2 linked regions of the Oreochromis niloticus genome follow. The protein of the gene in region 1 interacts with the protein of each later gene in a pairwise test. Links are inferred from orthologs where the notes say so. Each region holds a gene or a part of one and is shown in the gene's direction. Other genes may lie near its edges.

Region 1 (7,397 bases):
AGCCCTTATCATGAGTGGAAGGACTTTGAATCAGGTCATGTGATGAATTACAATCAAAGAGTTTCACAGTGCACCTTCACAGAAAGTTAAACAAAAAAAAAAAAAGTTGGCTTGTCCACCCAACATTCCAAAGTTGATTTAATTTTCCACAGTCCTGTCCCTCTGATTGAGGAATTTTATTTTATTTTATTTTTTTCCTCTTTGCTGGTGAATGAAGTGGGCATGTGTGTCAACGACAGGGTTCCCTATTTAGCCTAACGCTGATTACCTCATTTACAAATCTGCAAATATACTATTCTACTGTGTGTAAAGGAGTCAATGCCATCACCAGCAGCGCGGTCTCGAGACCTGTGATGACAACAGGACCAATGAAGTTGAAATTAGTCAATTTTGAAATATGACCAGTCTGGGAATATAGGGTTAAGACACGATTCAGACATTATTATTTTTTTTCTTCTTCTTCCTTTTCTTTTTTTTTTTTTTTTTTTTTTTTTTTGTAAAGATGAATGAGCCTCTTAAGATTTCTTTAACTAGTACATCACCACAGCTGCTACCCCAGTCAATGCAGGAGCTGTCAGAAAGCTGCAGATACTTTTATTGTTTGTTTTTTAAATAGCCAAGTCAATATTCAAAGTTAAAATCAAACACTTGTTAAAACACAGCTCTTCAAACTCCAACTGGACTAGCAGCTGTTGGCACTAGCATGGTTCAGGAAGCCTGGTGTATCACAATTGTTTAAGTGAACGATCACATTAGCTTCACTTGCTGTTTTTTCAGTAGCATTTCTCCTACCTCCTTGTTTTGCAGCCTTGAGTATTGTTAGTCTCTCCACCTGTTCTGACTTAAAAAAAAAAAAAAAAAAAAGTTTATTCACAGTACGGGAATACAGATTTATCATAAGCAATGGTAGTTATACATAAAGTGTGCTTGGTTGTGCTGTATGTGTACTTGTCTATTTGACGTTGGAAAAAAAAATATTTATGAGAAGCATTTATACGACAAAATACCACTGGAATGTGAAGCCAGACAACGTTATGATGCAGATTATGATGATAGTCTATCCCCTTTAACATTCAGTGGCGAATGGTCAGAGGAATCATCTTTTTAAGAAAATGAATAACCATTGGCTTTATATTTTAACAGCATTTATTTCTTTGGTTTCCTCTTATGCATATACTTCCCCCATCTAGCCCTATGGTATACAATATTTCAACGTTTACAGCTTCCTTCTGGGTCAGCCATTGATTTTTATTTTTTTTTTATTTTTTCTCCCCCCCTACAGTTGTAATGATATCACAGGTTGTCACAGGGATGATAGTAAGGTGTATTTGTAAATGTGGATGAGTTTGAGCCCCTCGAGCCGTATGCCTTTGAATCCATCTGTCCACTCTGTACCAAATTCTGCTACACAGGCGTCTTGTTTCCGCACTGCCCCAACATTTTACATCCAGTTTTGAGTACAAAGGGGTACGGGACAAGGGTGAAAGGTTTGAGGTTTTTCAGACCAGGCCCCGCCATCCCACCACCCTCACAACCACCCAACAGCTCACCCATGCCTACTCTAAGACAGGACCAGCCCAACTCCCCCACCCCTCCCCTCCCCTCTCACCCACCGTCTCACCTTTAACCTCAAGCCATTCATTTTTCTGTTTTTGTTTTATTTTAATTTTTTTCGACAATGCAATCCTGAAAGCACTTTGCCTTGTTATTCCTTTGTGTGAACATGTGAATGATAATTTGTTACAGAAATGTTAAATATGTAAAAGATCATTCACTGTTTTGGAAAAACCTGCATCTGTCTTTCTGACGTTAAAAGGAAAAAAAAAACAATTTAGTGACATTAAACCTGAATCTATTTTATAAAATGTTTGCTGCAGCCAATTGGTCTTGTCATTCAGTATTGTGGCTTAGGGTTGTTTGTGTTCAATAAAGTGCTATTGCTAAATATTTCTTGAGTCTGGAGTTATTTATGTTTTTCGTGTGTTGTGTTTTCGCCAGTCTTTCAAACTAGGAACCTAAGAAAAAAAAAAAAGCTGAGAAGACATTTTAAACCTTTTTGTGTGTGTGTGTGTGTGTGTGTGTGTGTGTGTGTGTGTGTGTATGTGAGAATCTACTTGAGGCTTGAGGTTTCTCAACTCAAATGAGGAACTGACAAAGCAAAGAACTTGACTGTATTTACCACCACTGTTAGCTCACATTTTATAGTAGTATGATGGGAGTGTATTGGACTTTGACCTTTGTGTGTTACTCATAAGGAATTTATATACTTTTTAAAGTGTTTATGTTTTCTGCAAAATACAGTAACAAGCGACATTAAAATATTGATCTGCTGGAGTTTATACCAGATTGAACCACTAGTTTCATAAGAAACTAATGTAATAAAACGAGTGACTTGCATGCAAAAGTAATGTGAATATTGCCATATCTAGCTCTAAGTTTCCTCTAACAGCGAGACTAATTTGAACTCAATTTTATCTTGCTTAAAACCACATAGTTTTATAAGAGTACCAGTGCAGTTCAATGACACCGTGTCAGTGTTGGAGGAGCATGCACTCACACTGTTATAGACGGAGTCATTCATTTCAGTGTCTGCCCCCTTCTGCTAAACCGGATCCACCCACTCTGCATAAAGTGCATTTTCTATCTGGATATTTCTACCTATTTTTTCCCCCCTTCCTGTTTACCTTCTGTCCTAAATATAACATTATGTTCTTTCACTGCATGGCTGAGAAAGAATCGTGTCATATTTGTGTGGCTGTGCTGTGGAAAAGTAATGAGCAACCCTCTGTTTCTTTATGCTTTGCTAGGAAAATGGCAAATGGTTGCAGCAATTCAGCTACATGCACAAACATATCTTGAAATCTGGTATTTTGGCAGATTGCACAACTCCAACAAGATTGAAAATCAATATTTGGTATTCCTAAACGATGCCTGAACTCTCTTAGACACATTTTAGTCTGTAAGTAGTCTTCAGGAATAATTATATAGGCATCTTGAAGGAGATTCAAAGTTCTTCTTTGGATGTTGGCTAATTTGTGTTCTGTTCCCTGTCAAAGTCACCCCCACACTGTTGATGTCTAGGCTCTGGGAAGGTCAGTCCATGATGGATAGTGATCCATTTTGTGTGTATGGTTTTTTGTTTGTTAATCCGGGTATTCTTTAACTTACTTTGCTTTTTGTGGTCATTGTCATGATTATAAATTAAGCCATTCATTGTTTAGTTCTCTCCTGACCTCCTCCAAACATTGAGACAAAAATGTAAAATCTGGATTCATCATCCTCACACCAAACTGGTCATTACAGATGGATCCCCCTCACTGGGACTGGTCCTGCAAGAGGTTTTTTTTCCAGGTAAAGGGAGCTTTTCCTTCCCACTATCACCAACTACTTGGTCACAGGGAATTGGGATGTTGGGGTGACTGCTGGGGTTTTCTTTATTATTACCAAGTGTATACCTTACAATATAAAGCACCTAAAGGCAACTGTTAATGAACTGTAAATAAAATTTAATTTAACTGAACTGAATCACATGTTGCGACTCATTGTCAGTCATGGCATACCTCAGCATTTTCTGTTTTAATTTTTTAAGAATGGCTTCTTGACAGCCACTCTTCCACTGAGACCATTTCTAATGATGCATTTCTGAGGTCCTGTGTCAAGTCTTTGCTGACTTTCAGACACAGTTTTTTTTTAGGCCTTCCACTTCTTTTGTCTTCCAACAGGCTTCTAATAACAAAGTACCTAAAGATGCAATTTAAAATCAGATAAATTAGCAAAATCTTTGCTAATGCGTTATCCAAAGACACAACACTAGTTCATCCCATGACTTTGTTGCTTTTTAATGCTTGAATGATTCATTCAAGTACTAAAAAGCTTGTCTAATAGAGTTTAAGAGAGAAAAATGTTTTCATCTGAATATGGTGGATAATAGGAATGGACTGAAAATGAATGAATAAAACAGCCAATGTCCCAAAAAAATCTTTGAAAAATCATCCAGAAAACCTAAAGACGTATTGTTGAAGACAACTTTAAAAATATAAGAAGATCAAAATGGAAGATTTTGCTTCCTGGAAGGAAATTATAAAGAAATGAGAGGTAAATCAAGTCTTTTGCAGATTACTGTATGTATTTGTGCCATATTTGTCTTTAAAAATGAAACCATCACGGAAAAAAATTAACTGGTAGTTCTAGTCAGATTTGTGTAAATGTGTATTATAATATGGTCTGTAAATGAATGAAGATAGAAAGATGAATATATATAGAGAGAGAAAGTTAAAGGACCAATCAAACGAACGTTGTAGCAGTACGTCATGACGTCGCCGCTCGCTTGCGTCTCAATGACGCTGAAGTGTAGGATGTAGCACAGGACGTGGCTATCAAGCTCCTAGCTACACTGGGACGTCTGAAAAAACACAGAATTCGTCATAAAGAACTAGTTTAATACACGCTTAGGTAAGTATATCTGTTAGTTATGGTATTTTCTTCTAGAGTGTGTAATTGTAAACGGATATTTCTCTGTGTAATACTCCTAGACTGAGCTCTGTCTGGTTAGCTTGATGCTAATATCCAGGGAAAACCAACGGTACCGTATTTGCTAAAAGGGATGGTTAGTGGAATAGCGATAGCTACATGTAATTCGTGACTAGAGAGGGGTGCTTATATCTGAGCATTGTTGTGCTTTTTGTGCGATGACCCCAGTTTCTTTAATTATAAACCCCAAATAACAGGGGCAAAGTACAGCGTTGTCAACGAAATATCTTTCACATAGCTAACGTTAGCAATGCTAATGTTTGCAGGGCATGTTGAGAGCAATTGGAGAAATGGGGGTCTGTAAATCGCCTACATGTGCCGCTTTCAGTCAAATTGGGTCATCAGCCAGTCAGCTGGAATGACAGGATGTTCTCATTAGGTGCTGTAGGTGACAGTAGGGTTAAATTTACACAACGTTAGGTCAAGGGCATCGAGTCAGGGCTGTGTGCTCAATGTCTTGAGTCATTGTTCCTTTAAATTTTTTTTGATTAAAGCAGAAAACGATGTTCATAAAGATAAAAAAGGTGTGGGATGCTGTTAGGTAAAGAATATAGATTATTGCAAGAAAATTTGAAAACGACTGAGCTCACGTCTTTTTTAATATATCTCCAGATAAATTGCGTCGATCTTGGATTTTGTTCCATGCAAGTGCAATCAATCTAACAATCTCTATGAATGTTATAATTTTTCTTTTTCTTTTTTTTTTAAACTCTTTTAGCAGGGAGGCCATTTTACCAGATGTGACGTATCAGCAAAACATCAGGACCTGAATGGAAACATTTGAGGGCTTTTGTGCGTGAGGTAGGCTTAAAGTATTTGAACTATGTAAAGGATTTAGGCAGATTATTTGGCATTGCTTGGCAAGTAATTTGTCAACACGTCTTGGTAAACTTGTCACTGTTCTTTGAATCTGGGTTTTCTCAACTGCTTTTGATTCTTTATGTAAACTCAGACTGAGCTGATGGTGTTGAGCAGAGTTGTATTATGAAGCAGGTTCAACATATCCAGGTTTTTTTTGCATTAGCTGGCTTTACCAAACCTAAAACTTTATTTGGACATAATGAAGATTTTTATTGATTCTCACACTTGCATAAAAAGGGAATTTGATGCATCACATGACTGCTTTTCAGCATAAAATTGCCAGATCGTGTGATAGGGATCTAGAAAGAACATACAAAAATATAACCTCATTATATTTTAATAATTGTGGCAGTTGCTGACAATTGTAAACCAAAACTCTGAACACGACCTGCTCTGGACCAGGTTAAGAGTTTAACATGAGTTACCATGGTGACCAACTTGACACTGAAAACTCTTGAGTTTTAAGCTTGACATACACTGCTGAACTATTAGTCTCGCTTTGTGGTACACCCCTCAGGGCTAGTTGAGTACCATCTGGTGTTTTTCTTGTCACTAAAAGTGTTTGTTGTTTTTTTTTTTAATCACTTTGGGGTCATTATCATGCACCCAAATAAATTTAGGATCAGTCAGTGCCTCTCTGTTGCATAAGAATGCAAAATACTTAAAATCTTTGTACAGATTAGTATCATCTGTGTACAGTTGTGTCTTTAAGAAGTTAATATGGCTAAAAACCTTTTTGTGTGTTGTTCAGGAGGTTGTGGGTAATGTACCATGGGGTACGACGTTACGAGGTTTCAAGGGGAGGTGGATGAAGACCTGTTGTGTCCAATATGTAGTGGAGTGTTAGAAGAACCAGTGCAGGCAAGTCTCTGATCAAAATACACCCCACCTTTTAATTCTATCTGTTTTTCTGACATTAAATTTGTCTTCTATGCATATGGATTTTTCCACCTCAGGCTCCACACTGTGAACATGCCTTCTGCAATGCCTGTATAACGCAGTGGTTTGCCCAGCAGCAGATTTGTCCTGTTGACCGCACAGTAGTGACGCTGGCTCACCTCCGTCCTGTGCCCCGCATTATGCGCAACATGTTGTCCAAACTTCAGATCAGCTGTGATAATGCGAGCTTTGGTTGCACAGCCACACTGCGGTTGGACCAGCTGCAGTCACATCTCAAGGACTGTGAGCACAACCCCAAAAGGCCTGTCAACTGTGAGGAGGGATGTGGGTAAGTGGATTCCATAGAATAAATCCAAAGCCTTATGTGACATCTATAGAAACACTAAGACAACCATAATAATATTACCATAAATTGTTATAAGAATGTGACCTCCTTTGTATTTTGTAGTATTAAATTTTCTTTTCTTGCTTAATATTCTGTCTTTCTCACTCTTGCAGGCTTGAAATGCCCAAAGATGAGTTGCCCAATCATAACTGTATTAAACACTTGCGGAGCGTTGTCCAGCAGCAGCAAACTAAAATTTCAGAGCTGGAAAAAACTGTAGCAGAACATAAACACCAGCTGGGGGAACAAGTAAGAGTATTTTGCCAACACAATAGTATATTTTTGACAAAATATTAGGTCTAGTCTTGATAAAATATTAACAGTTGTCTGTCTGTATGATATTTGGCAGAAATAATTTGAGTGCCATGTCTTTGTGGTATAAGACACAGATGCATGCCTGTTATACGTGCTTGATGGACGTGCAATAACAATGGTCTCCTCATTCTTATTGCACTTTTTTTTTGGTGTGGACATGCATCTATTTGGGCTTTTTAAATGGGCAGTTGCAGATTTTGTACTTGAGGCAGTTTTGAGAGGTTTTCATTCACTCTATTGCTTTTCATTTCCAGAAACGAGACATTCAGCTGCTAAAAGCCTACATGAGAGCAATTCGCAGTGCAAACCCGAACTTGCAAAACCTTGAGGAGAGCATCGAGTACAATGAGATACTTGAGTAAGTGAAGGTTTCCTTTCCTCTCCCAATATGTGATCTGAAATAAAT
Region 2 (8,045 bases), on another chromosome or scaffold:
TGGCCAACAAAGTAATTTCGATACCGTTCTTTGTTTTGATAGATGAGGCCAAAATTTAATATAGAGCCAATTTACTCGTATAGGAATGGAACTGCAGTTATCTCCCCTCTTTTCTTCCTCCCGGTTTGCCTCACGCCCTCCAATCCAGCTCAAAATTAGACGTCAAGAAAAGGACAAACAGCACAAAGGATGATATTTTTGACAAAGCTTTGCTCTTAACTACGATCATTACTCTTCAGTACCTGGAATCCCACTGAGGCGTTTCATCACACACGGGACCGTGGGTGCTTAAATGACTGTATCACTGTGAATGAGTGTTTTGCAAATTCATTTTTTCTCCTACGGCGTTCTTGTGAAAGTGGCTCAGAGCTGTTCTCCTAAAGCTATTTCAAGTGTCATGTGTTGATACCTGTGGGGACCTGACATGCCGTGCTTTGAGAACAACAGTGACATCGGTGGTGCCGTAGTGAGGTTTGTAAACTTCCTCAAGAACATGCATTAATGCTGAGCCTGATACCTGGGAGGGGGGTCCTGCGTTTGAAAAACGCTTTTTTTTCACGGTCTAATGCGTGATGTGCGTTGTGCCACCTGCCTGTACTGTCGTCTAACAAGAAGCAGTATGCTCCCGTGACCACATGGTGAGAGTTGGAAAAATAGCTTGTCTGCTTCGCCGGGGAGCTCTGACAGGTGTGCGCACAAAGACTTAACTTGTCAGCGGCAGTTTTGTGAAAGGAAAGGTAAAAGGAAGTTTATTCATGAGCGCACGCCTTGAAAATCCAGAGTAAATTAAGTGTGGCTGGAAAACAGCAAAAGAGACTTCACCCTCATTAGAGAGATTATGAACAGGCTGCCATCCGTTCAGGGAACAACGCCTTATTGATCGGGTTACTTGGATGTGAAAACAGTAATTGTCTTGAAAGTGACAAAATTAGAATTAATCAAACTTTGATTAAACTATTGCATTCTGTTTCCGCTCTAGAGGACAAGCCCGCCGGATGCCGGAGAGAGTCTCCCTGTGATGCTTGTTTGAGATTCTGCTCAAGTCCACATCTACATGATAGGTTGTGTTTGCTTTCATGCGCATTTAAAACCATTCACTCATGCATGTGATGTATAATAACAGGTCTAGGGTGCAGTTTGTGTGCCGATGCTGCTCTGCTGCCACCTAAAGGCAGAATTTGTATCAACAGTTATTTAGACAGCAATCAAACAGTACTCTAAACCTAAACATCTTCAAAATAATAAAGTCACCCTTGAGTTATGTACAATGCTCAAAAAATGAAAGGACCGCTTTTTAATCAGAGTAAAGCATTGAGTCAGTTAAACTGCTGGGATATTGATCTGGGCAGTTAAGTAGCATAGGGGGTTGTTAATCAGTTTCAGCCGCTTTAGTGTTAATGAAATTAATACCAGGTGCACTAGAAGGACAACAATGAACCATCCCCCCAAAAATGAGTAGTTTTACTGATGATGTCAGGGACATTTTTTCTCTTCTCATCTTTTCTGCCTGTTTTTTCACTAATTTTGCATTTGGTGAGGATCAGTGTCACTATTGATAACACAAGGTGATACCTGGACCCTACAGAGGTCCAACTCCTCCAGGGTGGCACATCAATACATGCCACTGCCAGAATGTTTGCTGTGTCTCCCAGCACAGTATTGAGAGCGTGGAGAATATTCCAGGAGACAGGCTATTACTCTGGGAGCGCTGGACAGGGTCATAGAAGGTCCTTAACCCATCAACAGGAGCGGTATGTGCTGCTTTGTGCAAGGAGGAGCAGGAAGAGCACTGCCAAAGCTACAAAATGACCTCCAAAAGTCCGGTGTTATGAATGTCTCTTACCAGACAATCAGAAACAGACTTTATGTAGGTTGGCCTGAGATCTCAACATCCTCTGGTGGGCCCTGTGCTCACTTTCTGGAACTCTGGTGCCCAGCTGGCGGGTCCACCGGTGTCATCCTAAGCACATGTGACAGATGTGTAAGGGTCTGGAAAAGCTGTGGAAAGCATTATGCTGCCTGTGACATCGTTCAGCATGATTGGGCTCATTGTCAGACCCTGCATTGGTGCAGTGCGCCTTGGGTTCCTCCTGGTGCATGACAATGCCCAGACTCATGTGACAAGAGTATGCAGGCATATTCTGGAGGATGAAGGAACTGATACCACTGACTGGCCGTCACACCTCTCATACAACACCTCTCATACTCTGGTCCGTCTGACACTGCCAGGTTGAACCTCAGACTGTTCAGGAGCTCAGTGATGATCTGGTCCAGATCTGGGAGGAGATCCCCCAGGACACAATCCACAATCTCTTTAGAAGCATGCTCAGATGTTGCCAAGCATGTGAGGGCCATAAAAACTACTGAGTACCATTTTGAGTTGCTGCAATGAAATTCAGCAAAATGAAATTTTCGCTTTGGGTTTTTTTTGGGTTGTGTTTGAGTTCAGCCCTCTGTAGGTTGATCATTTTCATTTCCCTCAAACGCTAACAGACTACCCAGTCAATGTCAGTGTAGCTATCCAGCATGATTTGTTTCCCACTGAGATCTAATGTGATTTCAAACTGTTCATTTAATTTTTTTTAGCTGTGTATTTGTTCATTAATTTTAACATATTAATCAAAAATATTTACTTTCCCTGTTTGTTTGTTTTTATTTAAAACTACAAAAAGAATATGCTTGTATAGCTAATTTGTCTTCCTCAGCATTTTTTGCACCATTTTGTAATGGTTTGAGACAGTGTGTCAGCAACAAAAACTGGATTAACATACGTGCAGTCGTTGGGACGGGTGATGTTTAAAGTCAGACACACAAACACATGCGCTAAAAATGACATCCTGTGAGAGAGAAGGCTTTCCTCTGTGGTTCTCAAAGTGAGCCATCTGTCAACAAACTCCGACTCAGCAGGAGGTTGTTTGCTAAACAGGACGAAGGCAACTGTTAACAACCAGATGCTGTCGGCATAATGGAGAAATTGTCACAAATGCGAAAGCTGCTGTCCTGGAGTAATGTGCCATATGGACAAAAGAAAGTGTTTTAGAACTGCTCGTGTTGGTGGGAGAAATATTATGTTGGTCAGTAAGAATATCAAAGGAAACATATGCTAATGCTAATCAGGCACTTGATCGTTGGATGGAAGTTGGTATGGTTTGATAAATACATGACAGTTACCATCAGAAACAAAGACTGATTTGTGACATAAAATAATAAACAAATAGACTGAACTGGACACACATGTTTGAGGAAAATCCTGGAATCTTTCCCAATAGTATTGTCTGTTTGGAAAGGAGTTAAAAAAAGGAAATTGTGCAGCTTTCTAAGTAAACCTTTGCTAAAGTTAAAGTTTATTATCAGAGTCTTAAGGGTGCATATAAAAAAAGTGTACACAGTCACCATGCACCATCACTCATTAATTAATGAACTGAGCATTTTGGGCACTGCCAGCGTTGTTTTAAAAAGCAGGGGTTTAACTGACTGAGAAATGGCAGGAAGGTGCATGTCCGTATGATACAGGCTTGTCAATCACAAGGTAGGTCTGCACTAAAACACAGCATGCTTTATCCTCATTTTGATTCTACTTGGAGCCATAATTGAAAATAACAATAATAATAATGATAATAGAAATCAACATCATGCTGCAATCAATTAAATCTACAATCAAAAACCGAGCCTGTGGCTTATCAGAGCTCATAGACGAGGTACTTTTAAAGTCTCATTACTTGGCAGTGACCCTAAAGTTTTGAAGAATTATTCAAAATAATTACAATAGTCACCGGGATACAAAAACATTTTTGGATCCGTTACAGTTAATTAAAAATTGTTGCTAATATTGACCCAAAGTAAGAAGGTCCCTCTTGGAAGTTCTGCTTCAGTCACAATGGCTGCTGTTGCAAGAGTTTTCTCTTTAGGACTGAGCAGCCTGTCTTTCCCTTCCAATATCTCTGTTAGTTTTCCAGCAGACTTCCTTACAGTCATACTTGTATGTTTTTATTTTTTGCACTTGCTGATTGTTTTATACCACTGGTGGTAACTGGTTGTATTTGTTGCCCTCTTCACGAGATACCTTTTGAAAAGGATATTTTTAATGTCAATAACACCGGATAAATTGGCATAAAAAAATCTACAGTTTCTACCTGTGACAGGAATGTTATTTCTACCACAAAATAACTCAATATCATTCTTGAAAAATATATTTGACAGATCATAAGTCAACAACAAAAGCATTTTACTTAAAGCTACAATGTGTAAATCATCACCAATAGATGTCAGTATGTTGGAGACCGCAGTCAACTGAATTCTGTTTTCTTACCCCTCAAAGTTCAAGTGCTTAATACTTGCTACAGTTACATCTATAGTGATTATATGCTGTCAGTATTTAATCAAGCTGTTAATAATAAGAGGGAAAGTTGTGATTTTTAGTACACTCAAGCCTAACCATAGCTCGAACATTGCTAACCAGCTGTTCTTACTGTTTAGTCAGCTTGTCCTGAGACAGGTGGGTTGCATGTCTAATCTGCTGACAATAAGTAATTGCAACCATATCAGGAGATGAGGCTTGAGGTGAGGAGGAAAAGGATGAATTAAAAATGAGGGTGCATGGTGGAAGAAACAATGACAGTAATAAGGAGATGAGGAAATTATAAATGAGGAGATGTGCAAAATATAAATGTTAAATAATCATACACAGTTTGAAATCACACAGTTTGTGATTATCAAATTAAAAGTGACTTAAAAGTGACTTATAAGACATACTATGTATGTGGTTGATCTTTAGCCACATACATAAAAAGCTATTAGGTGGAAAAGCCATGTCCGTGTCTGCAGCTGTATTAAAGATGGATGGTTTCCAGAAACCAGCGCCTGCTCCTATGTAGTTATAATTGATTATAATGAAAACGCCTCAGATTGCGGGAAGGCCTGATTATACACTAATTAACCTTTAAATACCCGAAATCACTATTTGGCATTTAAATTCTCAATAAATGTCTATGTTTCAATAACTGAAGTGGTGCAGTGTGTTTGCTTAGTTACTCATTTTTGATTGAAGGACACGGACTCGAAAGAGGAACCTTGTTTAGGCTTGTATTTTAAATGGGAATGAAAACAGCGTCGGACGGATGCTGGCGTGAGGAAAGCTTCCTGTTTTGAAGGGAGTCTGCTCTGAGTGACTTTCCTCTCTTATAAAAGTAATTTCGCTAAGACATTTATTTATAATTTAGCAAGTTAAGAAGTGATACATTTGGTAAGTCATGCTGTCATTGACTGCGACACTTTTGTCGCCATTTTTATAACATAACTGTCGTTGCGGTTAGCGTATGTTAGACAAACGGTCAGCTAACGTTAACTGCACGGGTCCAGCTAACTAATCGGTATTAGGAGTAAATATTATTTTATATGAAGGATTTTAAAACCACTGCGTTAGCCTGTTACTGTGACGTGTCACCCACGATATGAATACTTTTGTCAGCTGTACTCAGGAGATAAACTTTGATATCTGCGTTGCGTTCTCTGTTAGACTGACACACCCTCAGCACACAGCATTTCTTTTATGCTTTTAGGAGCTAACCTAGGATCACCGAGGCAGAGCCATGCCTTTCCTCCATGGATTTCGCAGGATAATTTATGAGTATCAGCCGCTGGTAGATGCTGTCATGTGTGTTATTGGACTGGAAGAACGAGATGACATTGGCGAGGAAAGGTAAACCTGGCTATTCGGTTACAGTCCTCTTTTGGCAGTGCTACACTGCCGTAATTAATTGTGTATCAGATAACACACAAAACATTACATATAAGGTGCTTCTTTCTCCTCCTGTCAGGAGTTCTGAGGAAGAATCCGCAATTTCTAGGTCTCTGGTGGAGCTTCTGGAGCAAGAATCCCAGTCAGAGGTGTTTGTGGAGGGGATCAGCTATGCCTTGTTCAAAATGGCAGAGCGGGGTCTGGTGCAGCCAGCAAAAATCCTCCTACGCTACGGAGCTGATCTCAACTTTGAAGGTTAGTAACAGTTTGGGGTGTGTTTTAGATAATGTGAATGTTTTTAACTTGACACTGTATACACATTTGTTTATTAAACCTTGCCAAAGAAAGAGAGAGATCATTTTATGACTGTGCTTAATGTCATTTTTTTTCCTCCTATGATCCAGTAGTCTTGTTGCCAGTCTTGTTGCCAGTCTGGTTCATACAACATTTAAGTGACAGTTGCTCATGCATTTTAGCAACATGCAACTTAATGAGCAAGGCAGAAAGAGACTGATTCATGGCTTTTTTTCCCCGAAAACCCAACTTTACCAGCACCCATACCACAGTGAAATTCTGGTTACCCAAAAATATCATAACATCTATGCTGGCTATAGGCTAGAGAATTGTGCATTTAAACAGGATTCCACATTCACTGGCACAAAGACAGTACGATAGTAAACACAAGCCCGATGTTGGCTATTTGCACATGTATCTTTATTGCCAATAATGATAGCTGATAAATAAAAATTTAAAAAAGCAGAGAAAGAAACACTCTTCAACCAAGATGTGATTGTTGATTTTGAATCACTTATCCACCAGAGGGCACTCTGCAACTTCATTTTTAGAGCACTACAGACACAACAATGAGTGCGTTGTCACCATAAATCATCATATATCAATATCGGTCTTAAAAATCCTATGTTGGTCCGGCTCTAATCAAGCGTATGTACCAACAAGAGCAAGCAAGCTGCTACAATACAAAATCTGTAGGATGAGAAAACAAATTGGAATAGTTTTCTTGGCAGTTTAAAGTTCATTCAGTGTCTTGCCATTCTAGCAAAATTTTCCGCAGCAGTTCCAATATCAGAATCAGAATCGGTATACTTTATTAATCCCTAAGGAAATTATATGGGTTACAGTTGCTCCAGTATAAATAACAGAAACAGACTAGACTATTTAACAATACGGTATGTTACGGATTTAAGAAATAGCACAATATATACAAATCACTAAATAATAAAAATCAAGGATTGACAGAGGTGATTATAAATAAATATCACAAATGTTGACAGGAATATTACAGAGTAGAAAGAGCGTGTGCAAAAAGAATGTAACTGTTGCAGTGTTTACAGTGTATTAGATGGAGGAGTTGTATAGGGAGATGGCCATGGGCAGGAATGATTTCCTGTGTCATTCAGTGATCATGATATGTCATATCATGATACGTGTACTTCAGAACATCAGATTCAGGTCCGCTCAGTCTTTTGTCAGTGAGCGTATTACTAAGATGTGTGTTCAAGCATCATAAGTGAGCTGATGTAGGCCCAGACTGCAGGAAGGGACATCACTAGGAGATGGCAGATGTCATTAGCAGCAGCCTCTGTGGTTCAAGCTCCAGGTCACGATGCTGGCAGAACTGCATTTTTGCAGCAGTCTCCACTGCTCTGGATAGTTTACCTTCTGTTTTCAAAAGCCTGGGGAAAAAAAAGTGTGTGTGTCATTTCTGTGCTACTGATTTGGTTGCTGACACAAAATAACCAAATCCAACACTCCCAATGTGCCGGTAAGCAACAGAAATGTTTGTTAGGCAATGAACTATAGCCAGTTATTTGCCTTCAAACATATTTGTATCACGTTATTAATGACAGGGACGCCTTAAAAATTCTTTCATAGGAATGGCCATATGGGTGGCACACTAAACACAATTTCCCGTTTTTTTTTATTATGCTGTTGTTAAATATTGGATACTTGAAAAATATGGCAAAAAAGAGATAAAGAAAAGAATTATATGCCTACGTAATTTCCTGCTATTAAAGTTGTTATCCCTGAAAATGGGTGAATATGAAAAACAAATACGCAAATTTTGGGGGGTGGCCAGCCCCCCCCGGCCCAATAGCACATTTGTTTCTTGCAACTGAAATTTTGCAAGCTGTCGCAAATGATATTCAAAGTGCTGAATACTGTTTTTGGCTTTCTAATATTCATCTCATTCCTTCCTGGGATAGTTCATTACAGATTACGTTTAATGACTTATACAAACATGAGACCACTGCCATTCTTCTACACGTAACAAGTAACACATGCATAA

Evidence for each region. The genes of interacting proteins can lie anywhere in the genome.
Region 2: the proteins of rnf41 (region 1) and asb6 interact in binary tests that used the Homo sapiens proteins (3 or more experiments, as listed by UniProt). The link is inferred for Oreochromis niloticus from reciprocal best matches to the Homo sapiens genes RNF41 and ASB6.

What each region holds. Positions count from the first base shown.
Region 1 is NC_031984.2:9,466,432-9,473,828, forward strand, and holds the start of rnf41 (E3 ubiquitin-protein ligase NRDP1), read left to right. Parts: upstream 1-4,295; 5' UTR 4,296-4,452; intron 4,453-5,248; 5' UTR 5,249-5,331; intron 5,332-6,142; 5' UTR 6,143-6,162; coding exon 6,163-6,252; intron 6,253-6,347; coding exon 6,348-6,619; intron 6,620-6,789; coding exon 6,790-6,925; intron 6,926-7,245; coding exon 7,246-7,349; intron 7,350-7,397. UniProt on the Homo sapiens protein: Acts as E3 ubiquitin-protein ligase and regulates the degradation of target proteins. Polyubiquitinates MYD88. Negatively regulates MYD88-dependent production of pro-inflammatory cytokines.
Region 2 is NC_031977.2:11,037,867-11,045,911, forward strand, and holds the start of asb6 (ankyrin repeat and SOCS box protein 6), read left to right. Parts: upstream 1-5,035; 5' UTR 5,036-5,186; exon of another isoform or gene 5,187-5,242; intron 5,243-5,558; 5' UTR 5,559-5,588; coding exon 5,589-5,698; intron 5,699-5,816; coding exon 5,817-5,992; intron 5,993-8,045. UniProt on the Homo sapiens protein: Probable substrate-recognition component of a SCF-like ECS (Elongin-Cullin-SOCS-box protein) E3 ubiquitin-protein ligase complex which mediates the ubiquitination and subsequent proteasomal degradation of target proteins.